Linked DNA regions of Styela clava. The protein of the gene in region 4 purifies or fractionates together with the protein of the main gene of each other region. This does not show direct contact. Links are inferred from orthologs where the notes say so. Each region holds a gene or a part of one and is shown on either strand. Other genes may lie near its edges. The genes, in order: cell division cycle protein 27 homolog, anaphase-promoting complex subunit 2-like, anaphase-promoting complex subunit 7-like and anaphase-promoting complex subunit 15-like.

Region 1 (7,123 bases), on a different chromosome or scaffold from region 4:
AAACAATGTTCAGCAAGATCAGGTCGTTCTGTTCGAAGATAAGTTCTTCCGAGTAAACTGAGAGCAAAACATGATGATTCACCAAATTCAGAATGAATATCATTGATAATATTGGTGATATATTGCGATCCATTCAATTGTCTTGGTGAAAAATTAAGTCCGAAAATTTGTTCTACCTTGGCATACCTGAAAAAAATGGTATCAAATTAGTATCAAAACAATAGAAATACAGGTTGCAATCATAATGAGGATGAGGATGCCTCGAGTAACCGACTCAACTAGGGTAATCATTTATTGAAGACTCAAAAGTAACTCGCGTTTTTGAAAAAAATCGTTATCTATGCCATTTAGACTTGACCCAATAATTGACTCAAACTCGACCAAGACTTGGCTCATGGCTTGGGGTAAAGAGACTTCCACCAAATACTGCTACAGTAAAGTGAACTTATATTCTGACTTGCGTCAAGCATTAAATTACCTTCAATAAACTAGATTACAAGAAAATACCTGTGATCAATTATTTATTCAAAGCTCCAACATAAATTCAGAAATCAATAGCAGTTTACCTAAGGTCTAATTCAGGGTGGTCCAAGGTTGTGGGCTCCACAGGCCACAAAATTATTTTGGTATTTGTCGCGGGCCACAATAGTACCAAGAATAGGTAAACAGTGCAATACAAAACAAGCACTTCTATTGTGTAAACACATAGTTGCCAACCTAGGCTAATGGAATCCGCATCCGATTTAGTTTTCTACCAATTAGTTTTCTACCATGCCTATATTGTTAGCATATATTCCCGACCAATACGATTTAGACTGCCCATCACATCTTCAACTTCGCTAGTTGCTTCAGCTAGCCATCATACTAGTGTAACTAGTCAATTCAGTCACAGTAGTGATATAACAACAATATGTTAAACGATTTTTCTGATTTATTTCATGAGAAGCAATTTAAAATACGATATTTTGATTAGGCCTACTCTCCGAATACGGCGCTGGCCACAGATAATGGAGCGTCGGGCCACATGTGGCCCGCGGGCCTGGGTTTGGACCACCCTGGTCTAGTTAATCAAGTGTAAATGACAATCTACCAAGAGTGTTTGTTTAAAAAAATCTTACTCTTCCAATTCCCATGCACATTGTGCATAAAGTAACTTGCATTCAGGCATCGTCATCCCATGTTTATCAAGTAGCATTTGTGTTATTTTAGGTTTTCCTGATCTGTAATAAGCAGTCGCCAACAAGAAGAGCGAATCACTTGATGCAACTGTAATAAAAAAAGTTTATATTAGACAGGATAGGAGGGTGGGTTGAGGTAATAAGATTTATATTTGTATGCTTGTAATATTGTAAGATTTCATAGTTTGCAAAAATGAATCACTTGGGTAAAATGTAGGGACAAACAAAGAACCACTCCAAAAAGTTATGCCATTTATGTCATGTCTTTCCCGAATATGAAATTTGATTTATCTTGGCTCATTAGCCGTTATAATTAACTTTGTTCATGTGAACCGTAATGGACTCAGAATCAGTTTTAATTGTTTCACTACATTAGCTGCTATTTATTCACAGACTGAGAGGTTCAAAAATTTTAAACTCAAATTTCTGTATTAAAAGATTATCCGTAAAACTTCTTATTTATCTGCTTTATGAAAGTGCCAGCTTGAATTGTTTTAAGTCCTATCACAACCACCATTTACTGATATCTCTCTGTTGCAATGATCATAGTAAGTCATGATATTTTTACATTAATATTATGATTTTTACTACTATTAGAATATGATATGACAATTCTGTCGGAAAAAGTTTATTCACAATAAACAAGATAAGAATTGCATATTTGGATTATCAATTCAACTATCTGAATATAGATATCCCAAATTGCTACTAGTTATACTCCAATACAAAACGATATGTATAGTCAAGAACCATGCAGCATACAGTCCACAGGCCACGGACAGCCCATGGAACATATTCACGTAACAGACTTTGTATCCCATTATTTTTGAATGAGTTTCATATTTTGAAACTTGCATCATTCACCTTTTTGACATTGTGTTATGCCACAATTAGATGAAATTTTGTTTTGTCAAGGATTTAATAATATGATATCACTTTATTTTTCTTGTGTTGTGACTGAAGGGATTGTTCGATGGTTTGGCCCACAATGTCATATTTTGAATTTTGCTTGATAAATCAAATTATGAAATTTTCACAATTACTATTTTTCCTACATCAATCTGTTTGATATTTTTTGCAATTTCTTAAATAAAAAATATGAGAAACCTGCCTTCAGCAAATAGTCGTTCTGCCAGAAAGATTGCATCGGCAAAGGCATAATGGTTGAGAGAGTGCCATATTGCAGCCTGAAATTAAGACATGTATAATACTTTATTAATTACAACTTTATGATACCAACTAATCTTAGGCTATATAATCCTTTAATCACTTTTTGACCTGACGACACTGAAGAAATGAATAAAAATCGCTACAAAAAATTAAAAATGTGTCTTCTGAAAGTCAATGTTTGCAGATTATAATTGTAAAAACATTATTGTCCTACAGTCGGACAGTATTAATAGTTGCCTTGAGTATCTCGTTAAAGGCTTAAATATCAAAGAGCGAAAATTATTGGAGAATACAGGAAAAACTGACTGCTTCAACCATTGATTGATTTGCATTACAGCAATAAAACATTCAATTCTGCAATTGGAAGTGTTCTACAGTTCTTTGAGGTAAATGATGGTCAAAATATTCAAATACTAATGTTATAAACTGTATCGATGTGGTTACCTTGATTGGTTCTTGGATGATCGTCATAATCCTGTACCGGTATACACTAAGTTAATCAAATTAATCCAAAAAGTTGTACCGGTACCGGTATTCATTAATCGGGCGTTGGACTCTAACTTGGAGAAACTTTCATCAGATTGCTACAAAGACTGGATATAAACAAATGAATTTATACGGTTCGGTACTTATTAATACAGCAATACAGTATCAGTACGGTCTTACTACTTACTGAATACAGCGCGAAACACCGCAAAGAGCGCAAAACAGTGCGAAACAGCGCAAAACAGCGCGAAACAGCGCAAAACAGAGGGAAACAGCGCAAAACAGTGTGGAAACAGCGCAAAACAGCGCGAAAGTGCGCAAAACAGAGGGAAACAGTGTGAAGCAGAAAAAATTTTTACAATGAGTTCGGGGCACCTTGTTTTGAGTTGGAGTACCACGGCAGCAAATTAAAAACACAAACCAACGTATGTAGCCAGTAATGCTGTAATGACAGGTCTGCCCCTGCTGGTGACACATTTTGGGTACCATAATTTAGAACATTTTCCATATGGATATGGTTGGCTTTAGGGTTAGGGTTAGGTAAAAGGGACCTCCAGAAGTATGTGCACCAAGATGGCGCACAACCTGAAAAGAGTATGTGTGTGTGTAGCGGATTCAGGTTGTGCGACATATTGCTGCACATACTTCTGGAGCACCAAAAAGGTAGATAAAATTTCGCATGGTGACCTATAATCCGGTACATAACCTTGTAAATATGCCGGAAATAGCGCCATAAAACCATGGCGAGAGGCGCCGTGGTTCTTTCGTGGCAGGAGGTGGTAATGACTACGTCTCCTGTTTTGCGCTGTTTCCCTCTGTTTTGCGCTGGTTTCCTTCTGTTTCGCGCTGTTTTCCTCTCTTTTGCGCTGTTTCGCGCTATTTTGCGCTGTTTCGCGCTCTTTTGCGCTGTTTCGCGCTGTTTTGCGCTCTTTGCGGTGTTTCGCGCTGTATTCAGTAAGTAGTAAGACCCGTATCAGTACAAGCAACTAGCAACTACCGGTACGCTCCGACCCCGCGACCTTTCCGACCCGCAACCTTCCCAAGAAAACGCAAAATCTGCCCGTTGAGTCTCGACACTGAAGTAGTTTTTATTGTCTTTCTTGCAATGTGAGCACCCATTATATGCGCGTGTTATCTGCTTAAAAAAAATTATTTCCCCGTGTCACCTATGAAAACTACAAAGTTACTATAAGCTTCAATTTGATTTAAATTTAGAATAGAGTCACGCAATATAAATAGTTTTACTATAATTTTCCACTATAGCAAAAATCTCTCTCTTTAGTATTCCAAAATAAAGTCTTCTTAAAAGGAAAATGTAGGTAACCCAAGTAGCATCGCGCGGATTATGCCGACCACGTTCTTACTGGAATTATTTAAACCAGAGATGTGCAACCTTTAATACAGTGGGCCACCTAATTTAAACATTAACGTATAAACGCAAACCATCAAAATGGAAATATTCATCTCAAATGATTTCATTTTCGAATAAAACCTTGGACCGCAGTCAATTTCCAAATATAGGTATCTCAAGAGTTTTATTTTTATAAATTTATTGAAATCAACATTGATAATTGTCTTTGGTAAAGGATACATGAAAATATTGAGTAAGACATACAAGATATTTGTGCATTCGAAACGGCTTCTCTGATAGGTGATTTCCAATACTATATATATACCAGGGCTTTACGAGAAGCTTTCTAGGGGTACTAGGATGGCAGTTGAGTTTTCATGTGTTGCTATTTCCTTCATATATTCTTTAAACCAGTGGTTCTCAACCTTTATGGCGTACCGATAAAATTGAATAAGATGTACTCGCGGACCGACAAAAAATTGAAATGAGTGGAAGAGAAAATAATAACATATATATATTTGCGCAATATAACGAAATGCTGGGCACCCACTATGCTTCTAGATAAAGAAGGCACACTTGAAAACATTTTACATGTATAAAAACAAATAATGCGTCGGCCAAAAACCGAAATGAGTGAATCAAACTTGGCCCAGAAGAAGACATAGATGCTTTGTTGGTCAGCTGATCTCATATTTATCTTTCTGCAGTTAATCAACGCATCAAACAAAATTTACATTAAGATGAATAGGTCATCGTTAACTTGGCACCAGGTACACAATCCTGCTGTGCATCACATGGAAAAGATCTCTGCGGCCCATGATTTTGTTGTGCGCCTCGTGACCACCTGTGGGGTCGCAACAAGCTCATATTTTACTAGATGTCAAGGCGGACCCCTGGGATATTATACTGTCAACGACTGTTTTCTGCCTTAAACAAAGAAATATTCATAACCTTTTATTTGGATGTTCATATCGAACAGGAAAAGCATGCAGAACAGAAAAAACACGTGTGTCATTCTTTGGGTTTCTGAATCTCGCGAGGTTGAAGGATGCTTTCGCGATGAATCGGAACCGAAAAAGCGAGAAGTGTGATTACTCGGCGCCAATACGTCTTTAATACCGCGAACAGCAATAGGTTGGCGAAAGAGAAATAGCGTAATGAACAAACCCAACGTCGTTATTTCGCGTTCGGTAAAGCGATTTAAGACGGTTGAAAAACACATAAAAATTTCTCGCGGAACGACAAAAAAGCTTCCGGTCCGTGGGCCAGCGGCTGGGAACTACTGCTTTGAAAAACAGTTTATAAATTATTAGTCAATATATTACAATTTACAACTTTGTTTGGTGTCTGATTACTGGGAGTTCGAGTTGATTATTTCACGACTCGGAGGTACTTAACAGGAAAAAGGTTGAGAACCCCTGCTATATACATAACTTTCACAACGACTTTTGAGAATATATTTGACGACTGTCAAAGCTTATTAAACTTCGCGAAGATATGTATTCAACTCTTATTTGCCATTTATGGGACTAAGTATGATACAATTCCTCTTAACAATGAAATTGTTTTTTATATGAAAATGATTGACGGAATCCCGACATCTTTGGATTGCTGGTTGTAATTTGTAATTTGTAAATCGTGGAAAGGATATAGAAATAGAATATTGGGTAAATCAGCTGTTTTTGCTCGATAGTTCGTGTTTTAACTTAAGTCATTCTAATCCTAAAATTAGAAGCAATCTATTAGTCGTAAAATACGTAACAATCAGACGTCCTATATAGGTTACATGACGATATCGCGTCATGCTCTGAGGATACTAAAACCAGCATAAAAGCGAACATTCGTTAGGAGAAAAAAGGATAACTACGGACAAGTAATTAACGAACCTCGGGCCTGCAGTGCAACTTGGTAATTTTGCCTGGCTTATCAGTCATGATTTGGAACTGTCCTTTGTATTTGTAAATTATACAATTGCAATATATGTATTCGGAACCAGGTGTATGTCTTCATCAGATCAGAACAGCAGAATCAGACAGCAAGTATTCATTTATTCCCTAAAAGGATTCTAACTTATTGGAAATTCAGTGAGCAAATTGAAATATTAGTTAATATGTCGATTGCTCATGTTTTATCGTATTTCGATACCTGGTTATTTAATCAGTTGTGGAACAGTGTTTGGGAACTTCAATGAGAATTTGTTTATTGCATGTGGTGAAATATTTGTCTGTTATGATAAACGATCCGTGAATTGAGTTTGCAGTTGCATCCGAAAGACCAGTAACCCAATAAGACTGATTAGGTTACAATTTTTCAGTTTTAGAGAGAATTTTGTAATGAATATTTTTGTCTCTTCCACCATACCTGCTATTCCGGACGTATCCCGTAGTCAGACCTTCCATTACAATTATCGCAGTTTTATATCGTCATTGATTGATTAAATATTTTGATAAACCAACCCTAGAGTCCTTGCAACAACAAAAAACAACAAAACAAAATAGCCGGCTAACTAATCCCATGCATAGACTGGTAACCGTACGAGTGGCTGTGGTGGTACGCTATGTGAGTAAGCCGCCTCCCTCTTACCCGGGATAAAAATGATATCCTACCTCCAATACCGCCTTCCAGTGGCGGCGCGTGGTCATTTTGACAACCGGGGCAAGCTACTGCGGGACCAAGTCACCCCCATCTACGGGGATAGGATGAGCGCTGTAAGTTCTCCCATCATTTTATGAGCACAAAAACCATTCCATCGGTAACAGCCAATCGGCAAAAGCGACAATTTTCAACGATAAGAAAGTGTCTTTAAAACCGGTCCAAGTCAAGGGATTAATAAATATAGACATAGTTTATTTTGAAACCTCTTTCAAAAGGAAAGGCAATATTTACCCAGATAAATACAATGACATATTAACAGAAACTTCGGGAAAGCAGACAAAAC
Region 2 (7,620 bases), on a different chromosome or scaffold from region 4:
TTTTCCGTGCTTCTTCTGTAACCTCGCTACAAGGTTTGGAGATTCATGTGCGTATGGTTGGTGTTGTCCTCACCATTTCGTAACAGTTGCCCGTCCGTATCTCAGAGCCAGACACAATATTGTTGTAAGTTGTTATTCAATTGACTTTAGAAATGTTTGCAATGTTAAATGCTACTGTTTTAGATCTTACAGTAAATTATCTGACATGTAGATTTCTATCGCACACTATATAAAATTGTTGAGTGCCATAACCAGTCTTTTAACTGGTACGAGCAAATTTAGTACAGCTAGTGCGTCTTAACGACCTTTACTGTGAGGCAAAGATGTTTGTTTTGACAAGAGAAGTATCTCATTGCAACCTTTCACGACAATGCAAGATCTATATATAATTATACGATGATTGGTTACCCCTGATAGTATTGTGTTGATGTTAAGTTGCACTATATACAGGGCTGCCATCGATATATGAACCCAAAAATGAGAACATCAGGAAAACATAATAATAAGATAACAAAGAACGAAATGTAATAAACAATGTTTTTACGTTTACCATTTTATCTTTTATGATGTTCCAAATCTAAACTAAATTTAAAATATAATTTACCGGTATAGTCGTGTTTTGTCTAAAGCACTGATTATTGAATAGCTAGAAAGTTCAAATTTAACGCGTGTGGAAATGCTCGGGGAAAAGACAGTCGCTCAGAACGTCAGAAATTAATTTGTTCAGTCGCTTAATGAAAATTAATTTGCTCTCATGTCATAAATGCGCGAAGCAATCAATAGGTTCTAATATTATTTCTAGCAAATCAGTCATTCGAAATGACCAAACTAAATGCCCGGTATAAAAACTTCTACCCCTAAAATAAAAAAATAAGGACACATGTCAAATGAGGACGTTTCTTGGAAATAAGCACAGAAATATTTTCTGGGACAAAGACCTTCAAAATAAGGACAAATCTTAGAAATAAGAACGTTATGGCAGCCCTGACTATATATAATTGCAAAGACCTACCTATGATGTACTTAATGAATGAAACTGACAAAATTTAATACATTAGTACCTTTATCATTAAACCGCATTTATTAGAACATAGGGACATTATATGACCAGCATATAATAATGCTCTAATAGTCTAATCCAGGGGTTTAATTTAATATGGCGAGTAATCACTTTGCGTTGCAAACCTATACCTACCAATAAGTAGTACAATTTATTATCTATGCCCATGACGTTACTACTAGAAAGCTTATGTCAAATCAAGACGCGGCCCGCGGTTTCATCCAGTATTTCATATCTGGCCCGCCTGTATCAAAGGTTGCACACCCCTAAACTATAATAATTTCATTTTGGAGTAAATAATGAAGTGAATGAAATTTGGGAACAATTAACTAGAATGTCTTTCCATATGGCGAACTAAAAGTTGATATATCTCTCAAATCTCATTTCACACGCACAAAAAATTGGATTATACCGACTACAGATCTCTATTTATTAACATTTTTCAATATCTGTTTTAAGGGTGGACTTTGTGATGATTGTTGCGTGACTTTTTGCTGCACTCAATGCGTCCTGTGTCAGATTTCAAGAGAGATGGACCATCGTGGATATCCGAAGGGTTGCATGTTTTAGTTCAACATGATGTGACAGCAGCAGTAGTGTCTGTACATATACCATCATTTTTCTTCAAATTATCTAAATACGTGGTGCTAACTATAACCCAGGGGTGGGCAAATTACGGGCCGCTGGCCAAAGTGTTTCATCTGGTTCACTCGTGTCTTCTGAAATTACGACTATAGTTTTTATAGATTAAAATTTCTGTTGAAAATATCGAGAAAAATAATAAATCGTCGGCCAAAATAAATGCCGTAATTACCCACGCTTTGAATATAATGTGTAAAACGAGCCACATATACAAGCGGTCTGGGAAATTAGCACAAGCTAATTCGAGCCTGATATAAACAAGCGTTCGGACGAATGCAGGACTCTACATCAGTCCTATTAAGCAATTGTGCCACTCGATAAACTAGCTGTTCGTTATTACATTAGCTGTTACGCTAGTTATTTGTAAATGAACTGTTTTTTTTTTATTCATAGTTTCATATGGAGCCTCCGGCCCAGTATCCAAGTTCATTATCTGTAACTGGTCCACTCAGGAAAGTAATTGCCCACCCCTGATATCTCCCCTACTTTTTATGTACATAAATTGCCAGTTTGTTATACACTGACCTATCAACATTCAATGAAAACGAATTGACACGAAACGAATTGAAAAGAAGGTCCTCGCGGAAATGAAACTAGTCACCACACAACTCAAGTCCCAAAGTCGCAGTTTAAGCAGTCGCTAAACAAATAAATAATTTTATTGTATATGTAAGAAACGAAAAGCGGAAACCTAGAATAACACATAGCGAACAAAAAAATTTGTTACAATTGGACCCGAATATCTGATTTGATATTCGCGCTTATTCAACCAATTCCCTTTTTTACTAAATAATCAGTTTATTGAAGAGAAAGCTATTTTTATCGATCTAAATGACCAGGCGAAAAATTATGACATTTTAATTATTGTGCATTTATAATTTAAAAAAAAAGGTATACATAACAATGTTGTTCATATAATTTTGAATCATCAGACCAGTATAAAAAATATATTTATAAGAAGAAAAAAAACGCATACAAATTTTCCTAGACACTCGATGACTTTATCTCTTTCTTCTTATTATAAAATCCCATACCAACCTATACATTAATATACTTTTGGTGATTTACTCACGACAAGATTTCATGCAACGTTTCTTATGTGTCAATGCCAAGGTGATTGGTGATCTAGAGTCGTTTAACTTTCTATTATATGGGGTAGGATCCTATTTATCCCGGGGGAGAGGAAAGCCCGTAAGACGGATTAACCATATGGCGAACCACGGCCTCTTGTCCGGTTACCATTCCATGTCGGATATATATCGGATTAGTTAGTTTTCGTCAGCCTGAACTTAATGATAGAGGAAGCCGTAACCAACGGTTACGTGAACCACCGTACGGCGGCGAGGAGTCCACGAGTCCAATCCTCTCGCAAATAGCCATCCCTGCATGGGATTCGAACCTGCGAACGCACGCAGAGTAATCAGAGGTGTGGTGGAAAGCGTATTCTTAACGCTCAGCATGATGAGCCACACCGCCGCTTCTTTGTTAGTTAATATTTCGGCTGCATCACATTGACCTAAGACGGAGTTCAGCTAGCTATAGACATTCCGGTAATATACGTTTTAATATTACAAGAAGACAGAATACGCAGACTCTACTCAATCTGATGTCTGTCTATAGTAACTATAATTCAGGGTCACCATATTTGAAAAAGCAAAATTCCCTACAGTGCATGACTATTTTCATGACCCCGTAGTAAGAAATATCCGCACGGTACGAAATAACAATGTTCTGTATAAGCAGTGTGCACAGTACGATTGCAGATGCGGATTCAGGACATTTGAGCATTTTTTTAAATTCTTCCCGGATGCAAAATTTAACCCATTTTCCGGACGGTATGGCAACCCTCAACTATATGAATTGCTAAATGGTATTCAATATTTTTGTTATCACCGGTTCAGCCGCCATTAAATTCGACACTACCATAGCGAATGAGAATAGTAACTATGACGTCACAGTTAATTAATTGTCAATGCGGTCCTTTTTCTGAGATTTTCTGAATGCGGCCCATGCAAAAAAGAAAACTTTGCCCTTGAAGGTGTCACGCATGCCACAAGATTGATGACATGTTTTCCGCCCTAGCTCAAGAATTGGCTTTTGTTGGACACGAAATGGCCATATGGCTATGGTTCATTTTAAATAAATTGTTGTTGTTGTACTTTTCTTCTAATCGTTGTCCTACAGTAGTTTGAGATTGTTGTTGTCGATTTGAAGAGTATTCCTTTAATAAATTTCATCCAGAATTTCGCTCTTCTATTTTTATTCATGGAAACAAGGCCTTTAACACACCAAGCGGAACGACCTACGGTAAGAACATCTTCAGTTTTGAATTTGCGAAGTCAGTAGTCCTACTAGCTCAACGTAACTTGTTTGATAGCGAAATGCCAAATGAATAGACTCACAACTGTAGTATCAATTTTTTTTTTACAATACTTTAACTTTTACAGTAACTCACCATACGTTGCCTAGTCCAGTGGTTCCCAAACTTTTTGTACCATCGCTCCCCTACAGTAGTTTATACAACTTCATCCCCCCCCCCCCCCGGCACTGCAAAAAAAATTGAAAGTCTGAAACGAATATATTACAGACCAAATAAGAAGACAGATAATATTTTATAGTGTTTTCTAATGAGATGGATGAGCTTGGTGTTCTATGTGAATCAGCTTTTTGGTGTCGCTGCTTTCGAGGTCACTCGCGACTCCTGTCACACAATTAGGGCCTTCTGGAGGAAAATTTCATCTTTAACCACTGAAAATTTCAAAGCAATTGGTCCAGTGATCGAAGAGAAAAGCGGTTTTTTAATATTTTCACTAGATGTCCAAAAAGTGTCAAAGAACACCAAGAACAACATAACAACAAAACGATCGTTATGTCCACTAAACGTGTCCAATAAACAGAGAAGTCGATGTTCTGGGAAACATCCATTACTTTGGTTATCGCTATACTTGGATGATTTCGCTAGAACGAATTCCATCGGGGGAATTCCCTAAATGGAACACAAATCTTCAAGAAAACGCTGAAAGTAGGCCTATGGTCAGACAGTCAGAATGGATTTGGATCTTATCTTCGAAAATGCCGTCAGATATTTGAATTTCAATGTAAGTTAAATAAGCATTTTTAAATTTCCGGTTGGTTTTAAATCTGAAAACTGTTCGATAACTTACCGGTATTGTCCAGTCTAATTGCCTAACTTCGGACACATATCGTACCGTAAACTGCCATGTTCTTCAAATTATCTTGACTAAAAAGCGCCGTATATTGATCAATTATTATGTTACGTTTAAATCTAATATTAACTTTTTGTGAATGTTGCATAATTCTGTAATTAATTTTTCATTAAAAAACGGAAAATTTTGCTGGTAAATGACACATTCAAGGACACAGAGCGTCACTCCTACTAGTCAAAATACCGGGTCTCATGTAGTTTCTTACCTAACATACTTCTAGTGGGCGTAGCATGACAATTTTTTCGCGTATCAATCCTAACCCCCACCTGACTACACCATCCAAAAATTACGTCATCACAACGTCACAGTGACGTAATAGAGCCCTTCAAACTATACGAACTGCCATCCAAGACGCGCAAACGAGCACCCGAAATCGAACAGTTATTTCTCTCGTTTTCTTGTCGCAACGATTCCAATAGGAGAGAGACCAATAACGTCAGTCAGTTCTTTATCGTCGGCACCAATGCCATTACGGTCGATCGTGCGTATATTTGGCAAGCTCTATGACTGGATTGTGATGTCGTAGCGATTTAATTTTTGGATGGCGTAATCAGATGGGGGTTAGGATTGACATATCAAAAAATTGTTATGCAATGCCCACTAGAAGTACGTTAGGTACGAAACTACACGAGACCCAAAATACCATCATTAGATAGAGGAAATTGAAAACCATATACCGTATTTTCCCGAAATTACGCCAATATCGAGAATAGGCCGACTCCCTAAAAACGGCCTTAATGACAACGATTTTATAAAAAATCGCACGTAAGCCGGTCCTTCGAATTGTTACACGCCGGACGCTTCAAGAAAAACGTAATAGAGAACAAAATTACTGTAACGCAAACATTTCTCACGTTTATCGTTTCTGCACGTTAGCGAGGGCCGTAGGTGGATTATTACCCGTAAGTCTTACTTGTTAATTTATGTTAATAAAGTCTATATTGCTTTCCAATGTGTCGTGATTGTGTCGGGAGTTTAAAATAGAGTTCCTGAATCAGCATAAAACAATTTCCTTTGATCGCCACAACGAAGATTAATTTCGTTCCTTGTCCGTTTCAAGGAAAGAAATAACGCTGTATTAACACATTCTTATAAATCACTACGAATCTTAACATGCCAGACGCCTTAAGAAAGGCGCAGAAAGAAAACAAAATTGCTGTAACACAAATATTTCTAACGTTTATCATTTCTGTTTGTTAGCGACGGCCGTAGATCCTTACTCGTAACTCTTACTTTATTGCTTTTCATGCGTCATGATTTGTATTAATGGAAGGGATTGTTGTCGGGAGTTTAAGAGAGTCCCTGAGTCAGCATAAAACAGTTTCCTTTGATCGTCCACAACGCGGTTAATTTCGATAAGAGTCCTTATCACCGCCCTTTAACGAATAACATATCCATATCGTAAAGGTGATTAAAATTTGTGCGCCGTTAATTGCCTCTACGGCGAAAGTGCACCAAATAATAAAGTTTTCGCCATGAAACAACTGACCGTAAATCGACACTGTTGCTGTTATATAAAAGAAACACAAGCGAAAACAAACAATCACAGCCTGCACAAGCGTCACATGTTAAACAACCAATCACAGACTGTACAAGCCATTAGCTGTATGATAAGACAATCCACTTTCACAAGCGAGTGTGTGTGCGCGACACTTTTTATCGTGAGAACTTGGTATGGTTTGAAGCTTTTGGAATTACCGGCAAGTCAGCATAATATCATCTCGTTGCGTGATCAAATTCTGATACGTGAATGAGCCGATTTTTTTGGTGCAATCTGAGTCTTGCGTGTATAAGACGGTCCCTTGGTTTGGCAACTTTTTTTTTGAGTTTTAAACACGGCCTATACGCGATCATATACGGTAAATCATGAGAGGCGACATGTTGTACAAGTAAAACCTAGAATTCTGATTTTTAGATTTCGCAAAAAAAAATTGAGGTTTGATGCTGCGCCAAAAGTTACATCAATCTCATGTAGATCATTTTTTGGTCACCTACCTCAGGGGTTCTCAAACTTTTTGTGTTGCGGAGCCCTTGAAAAGGTTGACTATAATTCACGGAGCCCCAAAATAAATGTTAAATTGTTACTTTCCAATTAATATTCCTGAGTATAAGTTAAAAGTACTTTACTTAATTTAAACTGTAAATTTGACACTTGGCAAACATATTAATAATTTAGGGGTCGAATCTTTTCCCTTTTGACATTTTTGGAAGATATAAAGGGCCGCTAATAACTTGCGCGATTGCATTTTGTTACAATTGCCGTTTGTTTTCGTCAGCATGGCGTGTTTTTAAACCTCAAACATCTTTACGCCAGTGTTTATTCTCCCTAAATCGAAAATTTCCTTTGGCATATACATGTATTGTTCCACAATGACGACAATAATTGATTTTTTGTTCTCGTGGGAAATTATGTGTTCAATGTGAAAAAAAATATTATGGTGATAGGCGACGGAATGCTAAAAATAATAATTGATAAAGAGGTAAATCCGCAACTCAAATATCTTGATCGAAAAGCGGCATTCTAAAATATATATTAAAACTAAAACTTAAAATGGAAGATCACACTATAAGTTTGGTTTCAGCAGACCTTAAAACGCTTTTATAAACATTGTTAATCACAAATTTTGGTGTTATGTTAGGTTTTCTTTGGTTATTCATCGTAGTAACTGCGAAATCGAAACAAAGTCAATT
Region 3 (8,019 bases), on a different chromosome or scaffold from region 4:
AGGTAAGTAAGCCTAGCTGTTTCACCTAAAAAGTTGAGTAGATGGCCAAACAGAATGAATTCAATTAGTTCTAATTTTTGTAGCTATCTTTTCTTGAGTGCTCTCTATTCAGAGTGATTGTGTGAAAACCACCTCAAAATAAAAGGAGCAAAACCCAAGATTATTACCACTTATTAATAATTTGCGATAGACATAATTTACTTACATATCCATGCCATCAAGTAGAAACGGATTATTCATTCTTGCACTTTCAAAATAAACGATTGCAGATTTGTTGTTCCCAGTGCGAGCACGCAGCTTTGCAAGAGAACAGTGTACCTGTGCATCACCAGCAATAGCAGTTTTTTTCATTAATATGTTGAGGTGAGAATAACAATTGTAGTATTCCTAAAAATAGAAATGGTTTGGAAAACGAGCCTAATAACAAATTCATCAGATGAAAATGTAAATAAAAAGAAAGTTTATGAAAGTTGGCACGGTGGTGCAGGAGTTATTATTAATAAAGCATGGAGCTTGAATATGGTGGAATCGTAGATTAGAATCTCGAGTTCAAATCCTGTAGTTGCTTGTACAACGCCTTGTTCGGAGTGAAAGGAATATAAATATGCTGTATAAAATATCTAATTTTCAAACTCATGAATTTCACAAATTTTAAAAAATGGTACCACTCGGGTCATGTTCCCTGTTAGTACATTAGTGATTTTTAAGTGATCTCGCATATAAAAATTCATCTTTATATGATAATACACCATAATCAACACAAATTTTAAAATATTAGTCATTTGCCAAATCAGTATTATACTTGTCTTGTTTAACAAGCACAACTTCAAAGTATAATGTGTAAGCCAAAAGGTATACAGGCCCATGAACTTTTCAGATCACAGACTTTCAGTAGGACGGTTAGAATTAGGGAGTTTGATTTTCAGTCAAATGTAAAAATAATATACGAATACATGTGGATTTATAGGACATTTATGCATAGTTAGAATCCGGATTGTACCAGTGCCGACAGGTCACTACTGACTGGTATAAGTTGTTACTCTGGTGAATATGTCCAAATATCATATAAATCCACATGTATTTGTCCACATCTTATGCCACCTCATGGTTCGGATGGTTGACCCCGTGCCGAAACGTCTACAGGTTTAGAAGTCTGTAAATTACACCAAAACATACCTTACAGTGTAAAAATGCATGGGCTTTTATGAGAGGTAAAAACCAATCTAAGCCTTGAGCAGCATTGGAAACAATAGATAAAATTTCATTTATACTTTCTCCCAATGACAGAAGACTGAATATGACATCCAGAGCAAGAGGCATCTTCTTTAAGACATCTTTGTATGATAATATCGCCGATCTGAAAGAATTGAGATGTAACATGGAGGGTAATGTAATGTGAAACAGTGAAGGTACATAATGACATGGAATCTGAATTAGGGATTGAAATCATTGAATGCCCAATTTGCACTAACCAATACGAATATTCTCATTACTACCAAAGAAAAACCATTATTTCTTGTGAAATTGTCCAAAAATACAATGATCTATCCTCATGCACCTTATTCCTTCTGTGTATAAGGATATGCAATACAAGTTGTTCAAAGATTATTTTAATATCGAATGTTGATATTTTGTCTGCTGTTGTACACAATGAATATACTTGCACAATGAATACCTTTTTCTTCCAAGCTTGTGATGAATTTGAGCAAGAGCATAGTTTATCTTTACAGTTCTGTACTTGATTGGAATGCTTTCCAAAATACTAATCGCATTATGATCATCATCATTGTTATGACAACAAACATGTATTCTGAAAAACAAAATTCCAGTCATTCAATCCTAAAATATCTAAATTCATATAATCATAACAACAGAACATCATATCAACAGAAGCTGGGTCATTGAGAGAAGTACTAATAATGTTTTCAGTAAATCCAACTTCAACATAGGCGCGGCGGTGTGGCTCAACGGGCTAAGCGTTAGGAATACGCTCGCCACCGCACCTCTAATTACTCTGCGTGGGTCCGCAGGTTCGAATCCCATGCAGGGATGGTTATGTGCGAGAGGATTGCTGAACTCCTCGCCGTCGTTGGGTGGTTCACGTAACCGCTGGTCGGTTACGGCTTCCACCACCACCAAGTCCATGCCTCCGAAAACAAAACAATATAACTAATCCCATACCCGACTTTGAAAGGTAACCGGACGAGAGGCCGTGGTTCGCCATATGGATAAGCCGTCTTATCAGCTTTCCTCTCCCCCGAGATAAATATGTAAATACTACTATCCTATCCTAACATAATTACCACTCAAATTTAGCCTAGTATCGAACGATTTCCATACTTTGTTAAAATATTTTAATTCTTAACTAAAAACACTAAAAACATAACAAGACTAACTTACTTGTATTTCACATCAACTTCTGAAGGTAATTTATTGAAACTAGAAACATTTTTTTGATTCTGTTTGAGACCATTTTTCCTCACATTTATTGCTTGTCGATAAACTGACTCTGCTATTCGAAAATGTTTTTTCTTGAAATTGACATCAGCCTGATGCAGAAGTATTTCATATTGATTTGCTGGTGAATAAGTCTCACTGAAATAAGAAAAATAGGGTAAATTAAATGAAGCCTTCACCAATTCCATTACACACGAGAAAATAAATTTAGGTTGCATTATATTTTTTTCAACCAGAAAAAAAGCTTTATTTTTGGGGTTTGAAATTTAAAAGTTACACAGAATAAAAATGATATTGCACTGGGTAAATAAAGTTTTCAAAACGCACCTGTTGTTTTTGATTGCAGTCGCAAGAAATCCACATAATATTTCCAAGGATGCGTTGAGTTTTTCTGATCGAAGTTGACTCAGATGACTCATGAGGCTTTGTGTTGAAGTAGTCGACATTTTATTACCAATATGATTTTCAACTAGGATGCTAGACGATAATTAAAAATATAGTATTTAATATATAGCCTACAAAACAAGATGGTGGCTATTCGAAACTCTCATCTGAATAGATTCGAACAATTTACTATTCAATTCTGAACCTTCTTATTGCCACATTGAGGAATTCTATCACATGCAGACATGCAGTCATAGTTTTTAAAAGTCATTTGTCACATTTCCTTTACATAAGTCATACCGTTATATATCTGATAGAATGGTACGATATCCCACGTGACTGGAGAAAATAGACATAAAGAGACATTTTAAACAATGAGAATTTGGAGCAATCGGTCACCCTAGCATAAATACAAAAATATGCATTTTTCTGTACTTTTGGTCAGACTGCTAGACTGTGTCTGGTCAATCCAACTGGACAAGCAACGGAATGGATTATATAGGACTGTAGGAATAATGCATGTGGTACAAGGATCTGTATACGTCGTACTGCCGTAAGTGCTCAATAAACAACGCCAAAAAATTATGTGAAAATAAATGCTGAATTGCCACGCACCGACCGTATATCGTCAGCCCTAACTTGACTCGACGGCCCTATTTCGTCACCCCTAATTTAACACGCAACGACCGCATTTCGCCAGCCCTATTTTGACACCCCAATGATTCAGATTCAGATTCAGATTTTATTTTCGTCATGCAAAACCAATATACGATATGAAAAAATAAAAAAAGACATATAACAAATTACGAAGACAGATATCGGCTTGTTGCAATAGACGAGGGATCGCGAAAGACTCAAAGAGTCATCCAGTCAGCGACACCTTGTAGCTGCATTGAAGCAGCAAATATAGCAACCGAACAACTCAATATTAAATAGTCACTAAATTCGACACAATCATATATATAAAAGGGACAACAAAAAGAATGCCACAATGACCACGAAAAGTTACCTAAACATTCACTTAATTAGCCTCAATCACAAAAAGGAACAACAAAGTTTGAAAAATAAAATACAGGATGTCATAATAACTATGGAGTATTAGATATTTACCTAATTAAACTCGATCATACAGAGTAAGAACAAAATAAAATCGAAATAAACACCGAGATACTACAATGATCACATCGTATTATATGACTTAACAGCGACATCTGTAAGAAGGATATGCCTCAATGACAACAAAGAATTGCGAAATAATGCTGACTAAGCATACACAGTAAACCAATATGGCGTGCCCAGCAACGGGCTTCTGGCTGCGAGAATCAATACCGTATTTAACGGATTTTTATGTTGAAAGCGATTGTTAGTGGCTATTAGAGTAGTGCAGAATAATTATGGGTTCTGCAGTATTCGTGGCATATAGGTTGGGCGGAAAATATTAAAACAAGAACAGTACACAGCGAGCACACAACTTGACGAACATGGATGGGAAAAGCAGCACCACAGGGATAGGTACAGTACATACCGGTATACAAATATAATATTTCTAGACTAATTGCAACTGGGCTTATAAGCATCTAGGTATAGGCTCTTCAGTGCATGTTTATACAAGTTATAGGTACTGGTCCTAATGCTATTGGGGAGATTATTCCACAATTTAACACCAACAAACTTGATTGAGTTTTGGGTGAGTTTGGTGCTAAAACGATTTACATAATAAGAACTGCTAATAGAGGACCGTGTTCCATATGAGTGAACATTGCTTTGTTTTGAAAAATAGTTTGTGAACGCAGGAGGGAGTTTTTTGCAGTGGTGTTGGTGCATCAATTTCAAAACTTCTATTTTGTAAATGTCTGCCAATTTAATAATTTGAAGGTTATAATAAATAGGACTGAGTCGTGAAAAATAACTAGCGGCAGATATTGCACGGATTGCTCGGTTCTGCATAATTTCAATGCGATGTAATAATGTTTTAACAGCTGAACCCCAAGCAATTATGCCGTATTGGATATGGCTCTGGAATAAGGAGTAGTACACCATCCTTAGTGTTGTTGGTGATGTAAATCGTCTAAGCTTGTAAAGTATTCCAACCGATTTAGATAATTTAACGGATAATTTGGATAAGTGAACATCCCAATTCATTTTACTATCTAAATATATGCCAAGATATTTATAAGAATGGACATTTTCAAGTTCTTTGTCATCAATTTGTATTACTGTTTCATTTTTAGATTTGCACTGGTGTGGAGATATTAACATAGTTTTTGATTTGCCAATGTTCAGTGTTAGTTTATTAGACCGCATCCAATTTGATACTTTCGCAATTTCAGAATTTACTCTCAACTGAAGAACTGCACAAGATTTGTCGCTGTCGAGAAGATTGGTATCATCAGCAAACAATTTGGTAAAGAAGGAGGAACAACAAGTTATGTCATTTACATAGACTAGAAATAGAAGAGGACCCAAGCAACTACCTTGAGGAACTCCGTGAGTCACTGGTAAGGGAGAGGAACGACACGACCCAACTTGAACATATTGTGATCTATTACTTAAATAACTAGAAATGAGTTTGTTTGCTGTACCCCTGATACCGAAATGTCTCAACTTGTAAATCAGGATGTTATGATTTACGGTATCGAAGGCCTTCCTTAGATCTAGGAATGTTGCACTGACAAACTCCTTCCTCTCTAGTTTATCGTAGATATATGATATTGTGTCTAAGATAGCATGTGATGTAGATAGATTATTTTGGAAGCCAAACTGTGATTTATTTATTACATCATGTTTCGTAAAAAAAGCATTGAGTCGCTTATGAATCAAACGCTCAAATATTTTACTTATTGATGAAAGAATTGAAATTGGTCTGTAATTTGACATACATTTTTTAATGCCAGATTTGAAAAGAGGGATCACTCGGGCAATTTTGAGACATGCAGGGAAGATTCCAAACAAAAGTGAACAATTGAAGAATTCAGCCAAACATGGTGCAATGAGATCAGCAACTAATTTAAGGAAACGTGCTGGTATGTTGTCTGGACCAACTGCCTTCCTGTCTTTCAAATTATGTATTTCTATTATCAATTCATTTGTAGTCGCTGGGCTCATGAAGATGGACTGGTTTATACAATTGTGAAGAAATTGTTTAAAGCTATCCTGTTCAGTGGAAAACTTGCCTGAAAGGCTAGACCCAATTGTAGAAAAATACTTATTAAATTCTGTAGCAATCAAAAGTTCATCCCTAATTATAGAGCCATTTTCAATATCGATCTCGTTAACTTTTTGATTAGATTTATTTTTTACATGAGTGATTTCGTTAACTGTTTGCCATGTTGACCTAGGATTACCTTTGTTTTTAGCAATAAGGTTTTGATAATAGGTTTGTTTTGAATCATCTATGGCTCTAATCAAAACATTTCTATACTTTTTGAAATAGGAGCGTTCGGAAGTGTTCCCTTTCAAAAAGTGGGATTCAAACATCTTATTTTTGTGGCGAATAGAAGCAAGCAGCCCTTTGGTTAGCCATGGTTTTGATCGTAGCCTTTTTTGACGACGTGAGAGTGGTCGAAGCGGGGCGTGGCGATCAATCAGGTGAACAAAAGATTTTACAAATTCGCTGAAAACACCATCAAAGTTTTGGGAACTCAAATTGTTTCTAGCAATATAATTATGAAAAATTACTTGTGTATCTGTGCGAAAGCAATCGATCGAGAATTTTGACATGTCCCTTGCTATTTTGACATAATTTGTATGGGCTGGTTTTATGCCACTGAGGCAACACATAACAGGAAAATGGTCTGTTATGTCTGAGAGAACTACATGAGATTTGATTCTAAAATTTGAAATATTAGTATAAATGTGATCTATAAGTGTTGATGATGTACTGCTCACTCTAGTAGGCTTAGTGATTAATGACTTGGCATTGTGAGAAATTAACATATCGGCATAATTTGCAATTTGGGCATTAGTTGACAATGTAAGTAAGTTAATGTTAAAATCTCCTAGTATCAAAAACTGTTTCTTTGCCAATTTAGCAAGAGATGCTTCAAATGCATTAGTAAAGCTTGGAATATTATTACGAGGATGCCTATATATAACACCAACAATTATCTTATTGACTGCGTTGGCCAAACTTATTTCAAACCATATATTATCACAGTTGGAGTGATTGAGATTGTAATCTGAAATTTCATTATAGATGAGATCGTTTCGAATATAAGCACCAACACCACCTGCTTTTGTGATGGATGGCATGTGTATAAAGCTATACCCATCAATATTAGTGTTGGAAACAGGGTTACACGATAACTTTGATTCGCTTATCGCAATTATTTGTGGAGGGGATGAGAAATTAGATAATAGGGTTGTTAATTTATCAATATTTTTTTGCAGGGATCGAATGTTCACATGGAAAATACAAAAGTCAGACAATGATTGAGAAGAATTTAAATCAACAACTCCTACATTATTGCACGTTTCAATGTCACAGGAATAAGCTAATTGAGGGTCGTTTGCTAAAGCCATGTATGAAATGTAAGAGATATTTTCTCCAGGCTGGAAATAAATGGCCGGTATTTTTGATATATGTTTGAGTAATACATAAAATTATTTTGACTATACAATGTATGAATATTTATAATCAATAGACCTACTTGATGAGAGAAAGGTCATCTTCGTTATTGATGGGGATGGTAGTTGTCATTTCGTTCTTTTTTATTAAAACTTTTCCATTATGTGTCCATAGATATTTATATCCACATTCTTTTTTAAGATCTCTTGCTTTAAAAAATAAGTCCTTGTTATTGTCATTAAGGTTTTCTATGATGAATATTCTAGTAGATCTTGTAAAATGCTGAAAATCTTCATGAAAATTGGCCGATCTCAGTTGGCGACGATTTTTTAGAATTTGATGCCTTGTTTTTCTGCGTACAAATTTAACAATAATTGGTGAAGGCTTTTTGTTGTTTTCTTTTGACATCCGGTGACAGTTTGATATGTCAGATGATTGCAGCGGTACATTTATTCGTGCTGCTACCTTCATAATTAATTTTTCACAATCTTCATCACGCGAGTAGGGTATATTGTGAAATTCTAAATTATCCAGCCTTGACCTACGCTCCTGGTCGTATTGGCGTTCAGTAAGGATATCTATTTCTTCTTCTAGTTCTTCCACAATACTTT
Region 4 (7,459 bases):
GGCATCGAATCATTGAGTTCGCTCGAAATACAGCAAAATCTGATTTTTCGTCAATTTTTGAAGGGCCATATTTTATTAAGTTATGTTCCGCTGTTCATCATACTTTGGTGTTAGACACTTGACTTGTACATGTGATTGAAATCGTTGTTAAAAGTTGTCGGCATATAAAGCAACATATTCGAATTCGGCCTCGATATATCGAGTACGCATCAAATTTCAGAAAATCTTGTGTTTGACCTGTTTAGGGCTGGGCATTTCGAATCGAATATTCGAATCGAATCGAATAGTAAATTATTCGAATCGGTTCAGACTGGAATTTCGAATCGCCGCCATCTTGTTTTTATCTTTCCGCTAATGGTCGAGGTGAATTCCCCAATTTTTTTTCATTGAAGTCATATTTTTTCAACGAAATTCTAACATATGACTATTTTCTGTAGTGAGTTATTGATAAAACGTGTTTGTTATTCTGTGTGAACGCTCAGTAATCTATCTGAGTGATTTATTTTATGTCTTCAGTAATTCATTTGTTGAGAGGACCAATTACTATGATAAAGTCGCTTACAATTTTATATTTTCAAGTATTCGAGATTCGATTCGATTCGAAAAAATTATTCGATTCGATTCTGAAATCACAAGGTATTCGAAAATGCCCAGCCCTACCTGTATTTGAAGCCCTATAAATCATAAAGTCCCGCTTTGTTCCCTTCAACTTTTATTTATAATACTTTTCACTATTGCTACTATTCAAAATTACTGTTAAAAGTTGTCGGCATATTGCGGATCATATTCGTATTCGGCATCGAATTATTAAGTTCGCACGAAATATAGCAAATTATGATTTTTTGTCAATTTTTGAAGGGGCATATTTTGTTAAGTTTTGTTCCGCTGTTAATCATACTTTGGTGTTAGACACTTGACTTGTACATGTGATCGAAATCGTTGTCAAAAGTTGTCGGCATATAAAGCAACATATTCGAATTCGGCCTCGATATACCGAGTACGCATCAAATTTCAGAAAATATTGTTTTTCGCCTGTATTTGAAACCCCATAAATCATAAAGTCCCGCTATGTTAACTTCAACTTTTATATATAATACTTATCCCTATTGGTACTATTCAAAATTACTGTTAAGAAGTGTCGGAACTTTGCGGATCATATTCGCATCTGGTCTCGAACCTTAGAGTTTGCATGTAACATTGAAAAAAATATTTTCCGATATTTTTGTGTTCCCATCAAATGTAGCCTATTTTTATTTTATATTATTTTTCATTCTGCAAATATATTCTAATACGTTTTAGTTTTTCTGTTTTATGTGATATACAGTTATGTATGTTGTAATTACCACTACCAGCTAAATGTGCTTAAACTTATATTTCGGTCTGAGTTGTTTCCTTCGGAACATATTTTTCCAAATAGGATCCATTTATCTCTTATAAATATTGTAATAAGAGATTATTTTCCGCATGGGAACCGGTTGAAAACTGCAGAATATTTTTCCGCTGAAATTCCGCTGAATTCACAGTGGTGAATTTGCTGACCCCATTTTACATTTCAGATTTTTTGAATGAACGTACAGGACAGGCAATTACAGAATTTTAGTGGTGCATAGTGGAAATACAGGTACAAACAATTTTTTCCTATTACAGTATTATTCATTTCTATGATTATAACTCTGTCACATTTAACACATTTGTGGGCGTTTAAAAAAAAAACACAGGTAGGTAACCGGTAGCCATTCTATTGGAGTCTTACGATTTTAGTGTGGACCCGTTTATTTCAGTGAAGATGTATCCATTTTAGTAGAAACATACCGGTACCGTACTGCCGCACCGGTTCGAGAAATGTATCATTGCTTGATTTTTATAAAAAGTCATTTCTTGAAGGAAATCTCTATCCGAATTTGACTAACATACTAACCATGAGAAAAAATTCACATCGATGACTGGAAGTACATAGACTATACGTGCGAACAACTAATCTATTTCCGAAAATGGACATTGCAAAGAACAATCAGAGAACTAGAATTAGTGATGCCCATTTACAGATTTAGAAAATGTTTTAATCTTGGCTTCTTCCAGTGCATCACCTGACTGCCTGATGTCAGGATGTTGAAAAGCTATCAAGCATACGGTAATGCAGCAACAAGTGTCAAATTAAAAGTCATTTGTAACTTTTTGCCTATAGTCAGATAGTGACCCGGCTTTGAGTCCACGAGTTGCGCAGTGTTCGCTCGCTATTTAAAATCTAATATTTCAACTTCTGAACTGTGTAAAAAATGTGATTCATCAGCCACTCGTTCGGTTTTTACCTTTCTTGAAAAAATATGTGCGGTTCGCCAAGATTTTTAACCCTTACTTTTGGCCTGGGAGCAACAAATGTAACCGACCCCTAGTCTATGGCATATGGTGTGGTGTTTTCTCATTTTAAAATTCTTGCAATCTTTTTGAACATGATCATCATTTGCAACTTGCAACCCATGGGGGCTTTCTCAAGATATTCTCACTTCTATCTGAAGTTTGGAAGTGTGGTTTTGGCTATCATTTGGTAGGTACCGATTTTAAAAAGGTCATGTTAGAACCAATCTGATGTTTCAGTGTTTATATTACAGTATTAGTACAATATTAATGCTCTTGTTGCAGTTTGATATGTTATTATTTTCAATTACAGATGGTTTAATTTTACGAAATTGCAAATTTAATGTAGAGTAAGATAACAATGATTGCTAATCGACTTGCTTTAGCTGGATGTGGTAGCCGTGCTCTGTCAGCTAGAAATGAAGGAATCGCAGCTCCTGCTCTTATTTTAATACAAAAAAGAAATGTCCATGAATCTTATATACCTTCTGGTTCCGGTGGAAGATCATCATTCAGTGGTATTGTCGCGACTGTTTTCGGAGGAAGCGGATTTGTTGGACGAATTTGCCTCAACAGATTGGCAAAACATGGAGCAAGTGTGGTAGTAGCACATCGATCCCCATATCAATATGTGAGACATTTGAGGCCGATGTTTGATTTAGGACAACTGTTAATGAGGGATTTTTGCATGGAAGATAGTGATGACAGAATTCGTGAATTGATTCAACATTCAAATTGTGTCGTAAATCTTATTGGAAGTAACAAGCCTTATCAAAATTGTACATTGGAGAAAGCAAATCTTGAATGGCCGTTACGATTGGCGAAGATTGTTGCCGAAAAAAATGATGGCACTCGTCTTTTGCATATCACCAAACTTAATTGTAATCACGAGTTTGGTAGAAAAACCTCCAAACTTCTGCAACTCGACTACGCAGCCGAAGTGGGAATTAGGGAGATTTACCCCGAAGCAATAATTGCAAGGTCTTCCAATGTTTTTGGATATAATTCTACATACACCAATTTTTTTGTTCATGAAAGACAAGAAGATTTGGGTAAGTTTGGTGGGATGCCCTTGCTTTATGATGGCGGAAAATCAACAATTATTCAACCAATCTATAGCGGAGACTTGGGAGAAGGATTGGCCAGGATTCTAAAGCATTTAGATTCACCTGGGAAAACCTTTGAGCTTTATGGTCCACGTCGATATGTACTTAAAGATTATGTTGAATACATTTACAAGATCATGGATAAACCCTGCTATTTATATGATACCTTGGGACCTATGGATAGCAGCAAGGCGAACTTCGTCCAAAAAAAATTGCAGAAATTGGTGACACGATATTTTGAAAAACAAGAAGAACCACGTTTTCTTTTTCCAAGAGCTGTTGACGTAATATCAAGATTAGGAACACCATTGGAAAGTTGGGCAACAAAAGATTATTTTGACATGATTCACGTCACAGATAATCGCACAGGGCTTCCAGGATTAGAGCAGCTTGGAATTGAACCCACGCCATTTGAAGATAAATCTATGCTCCTACATGGTTATTTACATCTTTGGGACTCTTTCACTATTCAGTCAAAGCACACTTTACCAAATATCAAACAACAGTCGACCTATTTGCCAAGAGTAAAATGAACAGCTATAAAATTGTTTTTCGTGACTGGGGTTTCTATTACTGTTATCTTTTATTATAGAATATAATTATTTTCCATTATTCGAAAATGTTTGGAAATTAATTAGGCATACTGTGGTGTATAGTGTACCAACTTACACTCATCAAGGAACATTTTTTGACAAGTTCAAATTTTTCTCAAAATGTGTTTATTTATTTACTATCCATCTCTAATGCTTTCAGTGTGTATTCTAATCAGAACAATAATGCTGTATAGCGTTGTCAATTGCTCTGAAGTTATTAATTTTTGGTGCATTCATCAATTATCAACTACTCCAAAATAAACATATTTTTTAACTTTTGAATTTTGGCAACACTAAATAAAATTATTACTTTATGAGTTGACTATATGTTTCATTTGTGTGTCATTATCTTTAGTATTATAGACAGAATATCTCAAAATAAATACGAATTATTACGATATGTTTTGAAATGTCAACAAGATTTCCATTATTTGAATCTGAAACAACTGGTGACTTGTGGTTTTCTGTTGATAAACCAAGGAACGAAGAAGCTGATTTACAAGCTGAAGAACAGAAATACGAGAATTGGGTAAATGGTTGCTTGTTCATAAGGTTTGCTATCTGTAGAGCCAAATATCTCAAGTTTGTAGAAATTTAGCATACCATGTCAAAATTGCACTGTCAATGTATTCCACGCCATGTGGTTGGCGAAATGCAGGCTGGAATCTTGTGGACAATTAATGTGTTCTACTGAATTTCTCGACTCCTTGCCGCCTGCCATAGGGTGGTTAACCTAACCGCTGGTCATTTATGGCTTCCTCCACCATCAAGTCTATGCATTCGAAACAAATACCTATTCCCATACCCAACATGGACTGGTAACCAGATGAGAGACCGTGGTTCGCCATCAATTAAACCATCTTATTGACTTTCTATTCCTCAAGATAAATATGAAAATCTTTGCTTAAACTCAAAGCAGAGAATGTGAAAAAATTTTGTGCTTCAGGTATCTATAGATTTCTCCTATTTTCTCAGTCAAACATGCCCTGTTATAGAATGTATGTAAATATTCTAAATTTGAAAATATTGTTTCATGAAGATTCAAGGTTGTAAATTTGAGTTTGCAATCTGCCCATGTTGTTTTTTAAGTATCAATTGTTTGTTTTGGCAAGTTTTAATTTCCATATTTTTCCAGCTAACATCAGTCATAAAGAAGGATAGTGACACACCTTACATTGGAGAAGCTGCTGGCAGGGTGAGTTGAAGCATTGCTCTTTCTTAGTGGTGTGACTGCGTTATAGATGAAACAAGTGCTTCTCAAAATTTCATGTTTTATTTTATCAAAGAATTTCAATACTTCATGGCCTATTGCTTTTCTATAAAAACACCTGAATTACCTAGTTTTGCTTTTACTGGGTTCCCATCAGGCATTTTATTTTATTATTATTGAGTATAAAAGTAGGAGAATAAATTCATTATAGTCAATTTACGTTGAATTAGTTTCAAATTGTAATCATCGTACCTTATAAAGACCTTTAGTCATGGCCTCCAGAGAATCTATCCTTTGCCCCCTATCAGAACCTAGGACCCAGCATGAAAAACCCAGGTTCATCTACTTACTCACGAATGAAATTGGGTCTATTATCGAATTTAATGTTATTCTTTCTGCGTTATAGTATTGTGGTTTAAATCCTGGTGAAGACGATTCTGATGATGACACTGATGAATCTAATGAGGAAATGGAAGAAGATGATTTAAATGAACTTCCTGATTCTCCTGATGAACAAGTTATTCCCGAGGTTAGTGTATTGTAGTGTAGTGTTGTAAAACACAGTGTATTAATATTTCTTGGATTGGGTCTGCATGTGGCTGATGTCAAGAGCTCTGTCAGATGAGATAACAAGCATCAGAATAATATATTGAATTTTTCAGAGTTGTGGTGTCAGGAGTCTAAAATTGGCATGTTTTTATCATATCATGGTTGGATCTGGAGTTGTATTTTAAATTCATTGAAGAATTTCGGACTTTAGACAAACTTTAAAATCATAAAGTCAACTGGGCATTTTCAACAGACAATTGTCACTCTCAAAAGTTTTTGTGGCTAAAATTCGATTTTCTTGATGTCTGTCTGGTGTTTAAATTCTCTTTGAATAGAATTCAGGAACAAGGGTCTGACTCTGAGCCAAATGTTTTGTCAACCGGGAGTGGTAACTAAACTTATTTCGTAAATGGTTGAGAGTTTGGAGTCTTTGAGTATAGTATGAATTTAACCCAACCTCACAGTTCTGGTATTCCTGGTATTCTTATTCCACATAAGGGCCATTCCAAGCAAAAGTTGAATTCCATCAATTTTTTAAAAAGTGTAGTGAAAGTAATTTTTTTTCATTTCTGATATTAAAAGACATTGGAATTTTATTGGACTGCATTCTTTTCATCGAACAATTTAAAATTTCACTCAGGTTTTTGATGGTTTATAAAAAATGGCCTGAAATGTAGAAATTTTGGTATAATTGACATATTTTGTGATGATTCCTGACACAAAGTGTTTGATTGTGTGGTACAGTTATTTCATATGGAATTGACGCACTGGATTTAAGTTAATAAAGTTTAAATGTTTGCAGTGCTGTAGGACATTTCTTCACCCATTTAACGATTTATTACCAGAATTTTAAGAAATGATAGTGGTCGCTATTTCGAAGTGGAAAAATGTCTTGTAGTGTCACGTCCTGTTGTGTCACATACAATATGCACTTTATTGGCATGGATTTACAGTGTTACATTAAGTAACTTGAGCAACACATAAAGAGGTAGTTCAGCTACTGCACCAGAAAATATTATGGGCTCCTACTGTACCATCGCAAAAATTTACAGCACAACACAACGTACTGTTAGTGCATGTTGGATTTGCCGTCCTGTAGTGTCACGCTATATTTTACTATATTTTTTTTTATCTACTAAGTAAGTCTTGGGTGTAACTTTTGTTCAATTTTTTACATATTCAATAAAGCAACTGATTGGACAATGTAACAAAACATGTAGCTGAAAATGTAAAAATATATTGCATCTAACAACTTGCAAAATTTCTGGAATTGTCCTGTAGTGTCACTTGGAATAGCCCATAAATAAATTTTCATTAGATTCAAGAATACCATGTAAGACCTTTGCATTCTTTTTCTAAATTATTGTTGTGACTTGACAATAGTTCAAATTTTTTATCAAATTTTAGGAATCTTGAGTTAGCATTTTTTTGAATTGTTGCAATTTTTTGGAACACTTTTTAGACTTCATTCCCCCTAAGTATAATTAACAGTGATATATATATTGTTGCAATTTTTTTGGAACACTTTTTAGACTTCATTCCCCCTAAGTATAATTAACAGTGATATATATGTAAATAATTTTTTTATCTTTCCAGATTGACATGGATGATAATGCAGCGCCAGATGATACTTGGATGAATAACAA

The links.
Region 1: the proteins of anaphase-promoting complex subunit 15-like (region 4) and cell division cycle protein 27 homolog purify together in Homo sapiens (affinity purification with mass spectrometry; 3 studies listed by BioGRID and IntAct, with this or other methods). This does not show direct contact. The link is inferred for Styela clava from reciprocal best matches to the Homo sapiens genes ANAPC15 and CDC27.
Region 2: the proteins of anaphase-promoting complex subunit 15-like (region 4) and anaphase-promoting complex subunit 2-like purify together in Homo sapiens (affinity purification with mass spectrometry; 4 studies listed by BioGRID and IntAct, with this or other methods). This does not show direct contact. The link is inferred for Styela clava from reciprocal best matches to the Homo sapiens genes ANAPC15 and ANAPC2.
Region 3: the proteins of anaphase-promoting complex subunit 15-like (region 4) and anaphase-promoting complex subunit 7-like purify together in Homo sapiens (affinity purification with mass spectrometry; 3 studies listed by BioGRID and IntAct, with this or other methods). This does not show direct contact. The link is inferred for Styela clava from reciprocal best matches to the Homo sapiens genes ANAPC15 and ANAPC7.

The regions. Positions count from the first base shown.
Region 1 is NC_135260.1:19,715,382-19,722,504, forward strand, and holds the start of cell division cycle protein 27 homolog, read right to left. Parts: upstream 3,024-7,123; 5' UTR 2,820-3,023; coding exon 2,793-2,819; intron 2,366-2,792; coding exon 2,290-2,365; intron 1,267-2,289; coding exon 1,119-1,266; intron 187-1,118; coding exon 1-186. UniProt on the Homo sapiens protein: Component of the anaphase promoting complex/cyclosome (APC/C), a cell cycle-regulated E3 ubiquitin ligase that controls progression through mitosis and the G1 phase of the cell cycle.
Region 2 is NC_135254.1:19,227,766-19,235,385, reverse strand, and holds the start of anaphase-promoting complex subunit 2-like, read left to right. Parts: upstream 1-4,610; 5' UTR 4,611-4,749; coding exon 4,750-4,800; intron 4,801-7,620. Other genes in the region: placenta-specific gene 8 protein-like, read left to right, coding at 1-124, 1,520-1,630. UniProt on the Homo sapiens protein: Together with the RING-H2 protein ANAPC11, constitutes the catalytic component of the anaphase promoting complex/cyclosome (APC/C), a cell cycle-regulated E3 ubiquitin ligase that controls progression through mitosis and the G1 phase of the cell cycle.
Region 3 is NC_135257.1:7,648,302-7,656,320, reverse strand, and holds the start of anaphase-promoting complex subunit 7-like, read right to left. Parts: upstream 3,002-8,019; 5' UTR 2,904-3,001; coding exon 2,785-2,903; intron 2,596-2,784; coding exon 2,401-2,595; intron 1,811-2,400; coding exon 1,676-1,810; intron 1,358-1,675; coding exon 1,177-1,357; intron 388-1,176; coding exon 206-387; intron 1-205. UniProt on the Homo sapiens protein: Component of the anaphase promoting complex/cyclosome (APC/C), a cell cycle-regulated E3 ubiquitin ligase that controls progression through mitosis and the G1 phase of the cell cycle.
Region 4 is NC_135263.1:6,344,581-6,352,039, reverse strand, and holds the start of anaphase-promoting complex subunit 15-like, read left to right. Parts: upstream 1-4,447; 5' UTR 4,448-4,463; coding exon 4,464-4,583; intron 4,584-5,189; coding exon 5,190-5,249; intron 5,250-5,670; coding exon 5,671-5,793; intron 5,794-7,409; coding exon 7,410-7,459. Other genes in the region: NADH dehydrogenase [ubiquinone] 1 alpha subcomplex subunit 9, mitochondrial-like, read left to right, coding at 2,717-3,994. UniProt on the Homo sapiens protein: Component of the anaphase promoting complex/cyclosome (APC/C), a cell cycle-regulated E3 ubiquitin ligase that controls progression through mitosis and the G1 phase of the cell cycle.